3 linked regions of the Drosophila melanogaster genome follow. The protein of the gene in region 3 interacts with the protein of the main gene of each other region in a pairwise test. Each region holds a gene or a part of one and is shown on either strand. Other genes may lie near its edges.

Region 1 (3,712 bases), on a different chromosome or scaffold from region 3:
TGGTCAATGTGGGAATGCCCCCACAAACTTCCAGAGGGGTTCATGATTTCGGAAATTAGATCAGGGAAAATTTAATTTGATTTAGAACGAAGTTTCGCAATTCTGTACTTATTTCATATTATATTCTATGTAACTAAATGAATGAGTTACTATATTTGTCGTGTCTTGCCGACTTTCACGATCTCAATCTATATAGATATAGATAACCTATTAATACGTCACAAATGCTTATCATATAGACCAACTGCTTCATCATCAAGTTCCAAGTGTTTTATTATATAATGGGTAGAACAAGCGTAGTTAAATGTCAGGCTTCTTTTAACTTTTATCTTTATAGATTCGAGATTATCAACTGTTATCATATATATAACAGAAATATTGTGTCATTTGATTAGAAACGTATTTACAGAACTGGATAAAGCAGATGAGTTACTATCCAATACCATCAACACTGTGGTCCAACTAAAGGGTTATCAGATGGGTTTAGCTGTTGATTTCGTGAAGCTTTGTTTTTGGACTCAGTTTCGGTGTCGATTTCAATTAGAATCTTGCGCAACTCTTGGAGCCGATAAGCGAGTATATTTATAGAGTTAGTTTTACGCCAGCCACTTGATAATGTGGCAGCAAAAAAAAAAAAAAAAAAACAATTGATCGGCCAAAAAACGAATCTTTACTGAACACACATGGGTTTGCCAATTATAATACGTATTCTTCATCGGATGGTTGTCCATTTTGAGGTATTCATTTCGCAGGATGCATGCCGCTGCCCATATACTTGTCGAACAGGAATTCGCCCACCTGGTTTTGTGCCTTCTCCAATTGGCTAATATAGTCGGCCAGAATCTTCTGGCCATCCACTTGCTCCTGCAGGAAATTGGCCTCGATGAAATCGCAGAGATTCGGATCCGCTTCCTTGCCAGCCAGGGCGTGCAAATCGAGCAGATGCTTATTGACCTCCAGTTCCATTTTCATTGCGTGCTTTAGTGCATCCAAGGTGCTGGCGAAACAGGGCAACGGCTGTGGTACACTGCTCAAAATGATTAGACCACCACGCTTGTTCATGTACGTCATGATCTTCTCCGCGTGCTCCCGCTCCTCGACGCTCGCCTTTAGGAAGAATCGATGCATTCCGGGTGAACTGATATCGGAGCGATCGAAATGGTAGGCCTACGTGTATTGAACGTACTATATGCATATATATATATTCCCTATTGACTGCGGAACCTTACCATGGCCAGATACTGGTGGGATGCCTTCAACTCCATGTTGATCTGATCGTTTAGCTTCTTCTCGCAACTTTTGGCGAAGTTCTGACGCACCAGCATGCACATGTGGCGCCGAATGTCGCGGAAGCACCACGCCATGTCTTTTGCTTCTTTTTGAGTTTTTTTCTATCTTTTTTTTTTTTTTTTGTTTTTGAAAATTTAGAAACCTATACAATTTGGAATTGAAAGTCAAAACACAAACAGTGTGTCTAAAAGGCAACTGGGTCGGTTCGGACAGGTGTCGATGGATCGGATACGATCCATCTAAGTTCGTCCATTGATCTCATCTCCAAATATCCAGATCTTCACATCTCCGCATCGATCTCCGATCTCGCGATCTGGAGGAGGTGTTGATCCACCGTTCGGACGGCCAAAAAACAACGGGTTGGAGTTCAAAGTGCTGCCGGCTCTGATTTCACTTAACTTCCACTTAGCAATAGTGTGTACACAATCTCTCACTCGGTTTGTTCGCATCTATATACGTTCGTACGTATAGCTTATAGATACAGATACATATGTATATATGTACATATATAGTTAAATATCTGTGTCCAGATATGTTTGCTTTAACTTCAACAAGTACACACGAACACGGACACACTAAGTAAACGCAGTTATTGTCTTTTATTAAGTGAATGGAAGACGACTTTTGTCCGAGTTTTGTATAATCGTGTTATACCCTTTCTCATAGGGTATTTGAACGCTTTTCCCAAAATATTGCTGATACAGAAAATTGCGACAGCCAATGCAAGTTAAAATAAGAAATTTAATTTATTAAAGGATAGAAAACATAATATTATATTTTGTATTTCAAATGAAATGCTTTCGTAGGCGAGTTCAACGCGTCTTACAGGTTTAGGGTATTGAAAATGTAAAGATCTCCCAAGCCGAGGTTTCCAAACATTTCCTATAAACATCCAGGTGGTCAAAACTACTCGCACTTTACTACAAACATCCACTCATTACGCACATTTAAAAAACCAACAAAGCAATGGTGACTCTTGAAGCCATGTGCGCCCCATAAAAAGGCAATAATAAAGATATAAATGGTTCATTTTCACCGACACACAGGAAAACGAACCGAGAAAAAAAACACATAGGAGTTATGCAAATCATCGTTGAACTGGACAATAACAACCCAAATAAAAAATAGCAAACATTTTTAGATGAGTCTTTACGTTTTTTTTTTTCAAGCATTATGAAACAATTTTCCCTATGATTGTGATTAAATAATATATACACTTATTAAGTGAACGATGACATATGATCTTGTGTGTTTATAGAGGCAATTAACATGTTTAGTTCATTATGCAACAGTCGCAATAAAAATGAAAATTATTATCTTATTCAATATTTAAGGGTCAAATGGAAAGGCTTTTGAACACAGAAAAATTTCTAGAATTTTGTAGAAGATTTTACAGGCATTAAAGTTCTATAATTACTTAAGCATATTGAATTTCAACAAAATCCACATCGGAACTCAGTTAAATTTCAAATTCCACTCCCGTAATGCCAACAAGATTTTAATTTGGACAAGTGTGACAGCTTCAGCGACACATTTACATCACCTCCAAAATAATGGCAACAATCCAGTTTGCAGTGTCATAAAAACGTGCAACAAATTATTAACATTAAATTAAGCTGCGGAGTCACAAAAAAATTTTTATATACATTCGACGTGTTAACACAAAACTCAAACGTCAGCATATGAGGTAAAAAAAAAAAAACAAAATCCAACATAATTTGCTGAACATGAGGTCGAAAATAGCGTACGGCATACGAAAATATTTAATCGATTTGAGCTATTGTCGGCATGATACTCTTTCAAAGAGCATACAAACTTGTTCCAAAAATTAAACTATATATTAAAAAAATATTCAATTGTATGTATATAATTAAGTGTTATAAATGTGTACCATCTTAATTTTGGTATAAATATAAGCTGCTAAAATATCTATTACATCTTAAGGGGTATTCCCGTCTCGACTATTTCAGAATATCACGTATTTCTTTGCGCACATTGTTCAATTCAATAAATTGTGGCTTCGATCGCCGTCGCCAACATACGAATAATTTACAATACATACGAACGGTGTATCAGTTAACATTCATTTACTTTTGCTGCTGGTCATAATTTCCAATGCGTTTATTTATTTAAATTTTAATTTACAAGCACCCGATCGTCTGGAATTTACAGTCAGTCGCAGTGCATGCAAAACTGTGAAATACGATCGTTAAACGGGGAAATGAGTGCGGGAAAATTTGAGAACTTTCCACAAGGCATAAGACTAGTGTAAATAAAATTCAAAGGGTTGGCGGAACAATTCAAATCGAAGTAATATATATGTACATAAAAACTGTTCGAAAATCAATGCAAAATCGAATTGGTCATTTATAGGCATTGTGGAATGGGTCATTGCACTTTAAGCAACATGTGAAACAAATGT
Region 2 (5,152 bases), on a different chromosome or scaffold from region 3:
CTCCAGGTCCGCATACTTCCTATTTATAGATTTGGCCTCTTTTAAAAAATCCACTACGTGTACACTTATCAAACGTCTCCCACGGTTTGCATTAAACTTTACTTCTTATTGTCAATGCATAAAATAGTAATAAAATACAAGAATACTGTCAATATATCAAACAAAAGTTAATTTGTGGGTGATCAAACGGAAAACGTAAAAAAAAACGAATGCTAGCGAAAATCCATGAATGTCTGATGCTTGAAGATAACTTCTATTTTACCCAATGACAGTCATTTCGGTTTTTTTTCTTTTCTTATAAATACAATGTAAAATAATATCATAATGCAATGGTATATGCGATGGTTTACTATTCGATACGAAAAATGTATGCTTAATTGTGAGTTAGTCTCGCAGCTCTATAGCTTATGAGATTTCAAAAAATACATTTCTGGTTTTAAGTTATATTCTGGGAATTGTTTGTGGTATATGTATGTGTGTATGTATGCATGTATGTATATATATAATGGATAGCTGCTGGATATTCCTTTTATTCGGAGGGGGTGAGATCGTTTTCAGGTTCGTTTTCGTTGAGAATTTGAGAAAGCAGATCGTAGAGTGGTTCTAATATCTTTTTCGCTCCAGCATTGGTTAGATTTTTATAGTCGAACATATCGTGATGACTGATACTGCCGTCGGTCTGGACCAAACCCTTGTCAATGGCCACCGTCTGGACGCGATACAAGCCCTTGGTCAATCCATTGACCACCTCGTTGATTTTGGCATTCTTTTCGCGCAACTTATTGGGCTGCTGGCCACGCGGCAGTAGCGACTGCAAGGGAGAGATGGGAATGTCGATGATTTACTGCGGCTGGCTAATACCACAACTATTGTACTTACGGGCAAAACGATATAGGCGTTGGGCAGCTTTTGCCGGATTTTCGTTACGTTCGCGAGCACACCCTCGGCCACTTCCTCCGCGCTGTTCCGCACATTATTGGTGCCCACATGGAGGACGACGATTTTGGGATTCACATTGTCCAGCGCACCGTTTTCGATGCGCCACAGTACGTGCTCGGTGCAGTCGTCGCGAATGCTGAAGTTAAGGCAGTGCAGCGGCGCAAAGTACTTATTCCAGGCCTCCGTGTCCTGGACGGTCTCGAAGATGCAGTCGCCGAGGAATATCACATCCGGATCCTTTTCGCGGCAATCGGAGATGAACCGGCGATGTATGCTGTGCCAACGCTTGTCGCCATCCAGATCGGGCAATGGGGTGGGCAGCACACAGGGATTCATTTCGTCGGCGTGCTCAGACTCAGTTGCAGACCAATATTGAGTTTTAGTTAAAGATTCCGATTCCTATTCCTATTTCGATTTCGATTCAGTTGCAGTTTCAGCATGCGGATGAATGAGGCATCGTCTGCGGCTTAGTCTTACCGGATACTTGGGCGTTCTGCTCGGCTTGCAGTGACAGCGTTGCAGTCGTGGACAAACAATTGAACTGATAGTCGCTAGCATAAACAACTCCGTACCGTTGTTTACTTTAATAAATCGTTTTTATGGCGAAGATTTTTTTTTTGTTTTTTTTTTTTTGTGTTTTAGGTTACCTCAACATTAACATCCGTAAATGTCGTAGAATTATGTGGCCACCCTCGTGTACATGGAAATTGCCAAGGATTTAAGGTTGAAAATTTTTATAAGTTTATTTTAATTTGGTGTAGAAAATCTACGATTTTCTTGGTAAGCGTTTATGTTTTCGTTTTTAGAGAGATGGTAGATGTCTTGGTATTTTTCCAGGGCTGGAAAGTGTTGTCTAGCAATGTTGCACTTGGCACAGCTGAAAAAGATGTGGGATACGTTATCGAAAACGTTACACGGTCACATATGTTACTGTTTGTAACGTGCATTTTATTCAAAATTGTCAAAAGCGTTATCGCAGAGAAGTCTGTTAATTATTTTGATCTCTGTTGATTTAAGTTTACAATTGTGATTTTTAAGGCATGTGCCTTTAAGCCATATGCCATTATTTCAAGGGGAAAATATACCAAATGAAACAAGACTATTTTTTAGCTTTTTCTAGACAGCTTAAAAAATATTACGATGATTTATAACTGATTTCAGAAATAAAAAGATTTGAAACATAAGCAAGTTAAATTTTGTACCCCTACACGTTAAATAGTAAAGGACTATGATTCATTATGAATTATTATTGAACTGCATAAATAGAAATTATACCATTACTTTCACTGGCATCGCAAAACTTTCCGTCGCTACCTTGGCGCAACCTATTCTGAATCCAGCGTGCGGTCACACTGCAGCAATGACATAACCTAGTTATTGTCAAAAAACTGAAGTCAATTCTATTCCTTCGAAAACATAAATCGTAACTTGCGTTAGGTTCGACGGCATGTTGAAGCTTAACCGTGTTCGCCATCTGCGAACGACGTACAAGCGCTGTTTGTCCGGCCAGTCGCAGCTGCAGCTGAATAGTACGGACGCAGAGCCGGCATATCCGGAGATTCAGGATCTGTCCTTCAAGGCGCGCAAGCAGAAGGATGCGGCCAACTGGCACGAGGAAATCCGGCAGGTGCCGACGGTGGAGGAGAAGATGATCAAGATCAATATGCCCCGCTATTACGGCTTCAAGGTGGTCGACTTCAACGACTCGAAAATCCCCTACAATGCACTGCCGCTCACGCAACATTATACGCGCACAGTGCTCGAGGATTTGCCATCTGAAACGGATAAGAAGGCACAGGCTAAGGACTCCGAGCAGGAGCAGGAGCAGCCGAGCGTGGATGGTCTTTTCAAGGCGGCTCGCGGGGATGTTATTGATGCCCTCGAGTTTGCCCACGACTACTACAAGTGGGTACAACGAGGTCCGCTTTCAACGAACCAAGTTCTCCGGCGAGTTTGTGGACAGTAGTTGGTCCAACTCACTTAAGAACTCGGATTGGTTGGAGTGGTCCCAGTTACAAGTTCGACCGTCTGATATTAATGTATTCATTCTCCTCCATTACCAAGCGTAGGCATCTGGAAAAGCAACACAACTCTGCCGAATCGAACCCCGTTGAACGTGAGCGCATCCTAACGCAGATCATTGTAGAACAGCTGAACAGAGCTCTGCTGCAGTCGCTCAGCGAGGAGTACAAGCACCTGGATGAGCTCGATGTCGACTACAATCCACGCCACGAAGCGTTCTGGGCCGTTGGCGGCGTAGATCCTCCCAAGAACGTGCAGAAATCGAAGAAGGGCCGGGAATGGCAAAAGGATATGGCAAACGAGAGCGTTGATCGGATGGTTCAGTATACGGGAGCGCCGTATCTTGCCCTACGCCATCGCAAGCAATTGACGCCGTGGAAAACGGAAGCGGAAAGCGAAAACCTCGAGCTGAGCAAACAGCTGCCCCGTTTCAAGCACGACCCGCGAACCCTCGGCTACAGCACCAAGCATCAGCACGCCACCAATGTGCCAGGCTATTGGCCCAAAGGAAATGAGAATAACTTCGGCCTGCTCTCATTTCAATCGCGTGCACACCTGCAGATCCGTCCGAAATCGTTCGGCGAGCAGGATCAGCTGGAGGCATTGCATTCGCTGGCGATTAAATCGTCATACGCCTGGCTTTTGGCCCAGGCGAACTACAATGGCTTCAACACCTACAACGAACTGACCTATCCCATGAACACTCAAACTGTGATCACGAACGGCAGGGAATGGAGCTTTTATGAGTATCAGCTTAATACGCTGCTGCTGCACGGCACAAACGTGGCGGAAAATCCCCGTGTCAACTTCTGTCGCGGTACAAAGCCACTTCCACTGTACGCCGAGATTTCGGCAAGCGGCAAGTGCGTTGATTTCAACGATAACGCACTGCGGCACCTGCTCAATTTCTATGCCAATGCGCCATCGATTCAGCGGAGCATTGGGGAGCAGCAGCCGTATGTTGCCTCCGACGTTTCCGCCTATGAGAACGCCGAACAGCGTGACTTTATCAATAAGACCTTCAAATATTTGGCATCAAACCGACCGCGACACTTGGAGCTGCCCGAAATCTACCTGTGGGAGAAGCTATACAAGATCGATAACAACAATCGTGCCATGGAGGCTAAGAGACGCTTCTTCGAGCTGGACATCAATCCTTGGCAGCGAACGCTGGACACACATGACAAGGAGTATGTTCCACGTGCGGTCCGACCAGACGTCCCTAAGAATAAGAACAGGTTCAAGAAGACGTACTACCCTTAAATGAATAAATATAAAACACTTCCTAAGGTTACACTTGTTAAAAATGCTGAATTTTTAATGTGAAATACTGGATTGCAGATTCGGAGCAACGAAACGGTGTACAAAGTTTCTTTAAACTTTGATTAACTCAATTTTCCGCAAACTTTTGTCAGTATGTTAATGATTTTTAATATAAATATTTTGTTAAATTTCAATTTAAATTCTATGCCATACAAAGTATATATATTTATTAACTTTGTTATGCTTGTGGTTAAACACTTCTGTAAATTTATAAGCTAGTCTTTTTTATCTTAAATTCTTTCAAATAGATATGATTATACAAATACCTGGAATTTTGCCAATTATTAGTGCTGATGATGCTAAAACTTGCCAATGCAATGCTTCTTATCATTATTTAATTGTTTATGCAGCACATATTTATTCTAGATTCCATTGTTTATTTCATTTATCAGCACTGCAAACATACCGAAGTTATCTCAAAAAGTGGGTAAAATGCGGTTACACTGCACCAGAACCATATTTTTCGAACGTAAAAAAGGTTTATAATGCTATAGTGTAGTTTAAATCTTTTTACCAAATCATATATTGTTTGAACATAATAGTGCACTAAGGTTTATATGATATTCCATATAAGTACACTTCAAACTCTTACTTAGTCTGGTAATATGTATGCATTAATTAATTACTTGATTATTTTATTATCCCATTTATTATAGTAGTTTTACATTTACGATAATAGCTTTATAGTCCACTACATCAAAGTTAGGATTGCTGAAAAAGTTACCACTTGTTGGTTATTTCGGTAACGTCCCAGCTAACCGTATGGTATGTTATAACGGCCGTGCGACGGTCACACTGGATCTGAATAGTTAGGCTCGAGTAAATAACCAGTTTGAGACTTTACGGTGGTTCGGAAACTCGTATCTGG
Region 3 (3,142 bases):
GAAAGAGCGGAGCAAAACAAACCCACCGATGAGTGAGTTTGCTTTGAGTGAGAGAGCAGAGAGCCTGAGTCAACAGGTTGTTTTGCTGGTTGGGTCACTTAACCTCGTTACTCTTTGTATTCCTCTGTGGGTCACACGGGGCGTATGTGCAATATGGCTCACTCGGTGCGTATGTGTGGCGTATATGGCTCAAGTTTGCCGACAAATCGCCGACAAATTGTTTAGGAACATGGATGCTGGCTACGCACACGACTTGGATTACCAGTTGGGATTGTCTTTAACCCAGGCTGTGGGTTGTCACAGTGCGTATACGTGATTTTGTCTTGACTTTTCTGCAGGACAATTTGTGCGGATGTTGGCGTGCTTTTCTCTTTTCTTTCTGTTCATAATTTTGTATTTTTATGGTCATCCTAAGTTTTTTCGTTTCAAGGGTTTTAACATTTCGAACGTCTTAGAAACTTTCCCACAACTATAAACTGAAGAAAGAGACAATGGGTTTTGTCATTTCACCATGCAAATTTAATTGAATCGATAAAAAATATAAAACATTTGTAGCCCTGACCACCTTATTATTCCTTTTAAATGTGTGAGGTGGAATTGACAACGCATTAAATTAAGACGTTAGTAATCGAATTGGTGCGGTCTTGGATCCTATTTAAAATGGTTACTGGTCTTCTGTTATGTTTATATCAATAGAATCCGGCACATCTTTTGGATATTGCTGATTAAAATCAGACGCTGCAAGACTACGGTCATTCAGAACTTCTGTCTCGTCGGAACTCGGATCCAAGTCGAGAAACGCCTTGGAGATCATTTTGGGATTTAGTTCGGCATCCAGGTCGTTGTTCTCAACTATTTTAATCAAAATTTCCAGGAGCAATTCACAACACTTCTTTTCGTAGCCCATAACATTGGAAATGGCATTATGGATTGTGTCCTTCATTTTTAACAGCTCTTGATTCAAGTTTTCGATATCAACTAGAGCTTTCTGGGAACTGGCCAAAGAAACAGCAATGCGACGTCCCAGATCCTCGTGCTCCAGGCGCATATTGGTGGCATTTTCCCGAAGACATTGCAGCCAAATAGAACGCTTGGCCATTCCCCTCATGTTCATTGTGAGCGTACAAAATATACAGATTTTATTTGAATTTATTTTATGTGTGAATATCTGATTACTTTCAGGGCGTCAATAGTACTGGGAAACCTATTTTAGATCCATAGAAATGACACAGAGGCAACTGGGAATGAGTAGCCTGCTTGGGTGGCGCTACAATAAGATGACTGACATCAATTATATTAATTATCAGAGTAAGCCGATTAGCTGGCTAATGAATTAAACATCATGGGAATTTCCCGGCCCATCCTGAAGGCGACAAATCAATGTCACTTAAAACATATAATTATCATCATTAGCCGCCCAAAAGCATCGCACTCCTCATGAACCTAACTTTTATTACAGACTATTTTGCCAAGCTGATGGTGCTCGGTGTTGCATTCATAATTGATTGTCCTGTGGGCAAACGTGTCCTTTGCCTTTGCGTCCTTCGCAAGATAAGCACTTAAGCTAAATGAAAGCAGATGTCTTAATTTTCATTTAAGTTGCTGACAAAGAGATTTCTAAGCTGCTCTGTCAATGCCTTTATCTGCGACCTTCCTGGTTAATTTTTTATTTCGAATGTGCGAACGTAAATGAAAAAACGCTTGGTAATTGGTCAAAGCTCTTGATTCCGGTCCAAAGCAAAGGATTTCATTTTTAATGAGAAGCAAATATGTTCAGCCCTAATTGGATTAATGGGAAGTCCTGCGGGATCTAAACGGCTTGCGGTCTAGGTCAGAGTCAATGCGATAGGGGCGTTTTTTGAGTGAAAATGTTCGCTTTGTTAACAATTTAACAACTTTGTTGGGAATGGCTTAAAATTTTGTTGGAGAAGAAGGATTAAATCATCTATATGTGATGATGAAAAGCCTATTTATATATATATTATGTTATACTCGCATTCAAGAGATTTAAACACTAAAAGATCATATCTCTATATTCTAAGAGCTTTTCATGAATTTTGATTTTTATAATTAAAAAGGCGCAACTCGTTGTGAACATTGTTGTAGGCAAATGAAAAGTCCTTTTTAACCGGCACGATAATTAAATCATGCTCAAACAGAATTTGAACTGAAATCTCCATCATCGGTTTAACTTTTCTTCCGTTTCCTCCGACCGGAAAAAGCTCTTCCTTAGCTGTCAACTGGTAAATGCCGAATTCTATCAATTTGTCATTCAATCATTGCACGAACGTTGCTAAGCCGACTATGCAAATTGAAGTCAAGAGGCATTAAGTCCAATCCCAAAACTAAAACGCTACTCCATGACACAATTGTCAGGGTTTTATCGGCTTATTTCTATGCATGAGTGCAGACACTCACAAGGACACGTTTATACCCACACAAATGCAGAACACTTTTTGAAAAGGAAGAAGCTTTGGCAATTTTCCGATTATTTTTTCTTCCATGTCGAACTTATGTGAATGCATATATAAGAACATCAATCTTTTTTGTTAGTCTGAATTAAGAGAACTTTATTTCTGATGTGGATTGCAAATACTATTCGATTTTAAAGTCGAATTCATATTTAAGAGACTAAGGACGTGTTGACTTTTGTTTATAGTGAAGTTCAAAATGTACCTTATTTATTTATTTTTTTTCTTTTATATATATTTGCCTCAATAAAGAACCTACAAACACCTTACATATAAACACTATAAACCTGAATATGTATGAAAAAATAATTGAAACCAGTTTGATTGATTGGCTGAAATATAGCAGTTAACTAAGGTTCTGCGCTTTTGATTATTTTGCATCCCCATTTGGAGCTTTCTAAAATTGATGTGCGGTTGGCAGGTGATTTATTGCGGCTTGAAAAGAAAAGGGACTATTTATTTCTCTGCCTGTGCTTGCTTATCAAGTTTCGGCAAGGTCTTCATACTGCGACACATATTTTGTTGAAATCCTATGGTAATTCAATCATGGCAACCTTTTTCACAGAAACCAACATAATTGACGGAAAAATTCGATAAACCAGATGTTATAGGTCAGAGAGAGTAGGGTGATTTGGGTCAATAGAAAGATGACAGATCTTCTAGATATTGGT

The links.
Region 1: the proteins of CG13476 (region 3) and Fer3HCH interact in a two-hybrid assay, tested with the Drosophila melanogaster proteins (one large-scale study listed by BioGRID).
Region 2: the proteins of CG13476 (region 3) and mRpS30 interact in a two-hybrid assay, tested with the Drosophila melanogaster proteins (one large-scale study listed by BioGRID).

What each region holds. Positions count from the first base shown.
Region 1 is NC_004354.4:13,106,733-13,110,444, forward strand, and holds Fer3HCH (ferritin 3 heavy chain homologue), read right to left. Parts: upstream 1,463-3,712; 5' UTR 1,365-1,462; coding exon 1,230-1,364; intron 1,168-1,229; coding exon 742-1,167; 3' UTR 650-741; downstream 1-649.
Region 2 is NC_004354.4:15,783,786-15,788,937, forward strand, and holds mRpS30 (mitochondrial ribosomal protein S30), read left to right. Parts: upstream 1-2,261; 5' UTR 2,262-2,386; coding exon 2,387-2,844; intron 2,845-3,008; coding exon 3,009-4,224; 3' UTR 4,225-4,503; downstream 4,504-5,152. Other genes in the region: Paf-AHalpha (Platelet-activating factor acetylhydrolase alpha), read right to left, coding at 530-811, 880-1,275.
Region 3 is NT_037436.4:14,703,516-14,706,657, reverse strand, and holds CG13476 (uncharacterized protein), read right to left. Parts: upstream 1,195-3,142; 5' UTR 1,115-1,194; coding exon 665-1,114; 3' UTR 501-664; downstream 1-500.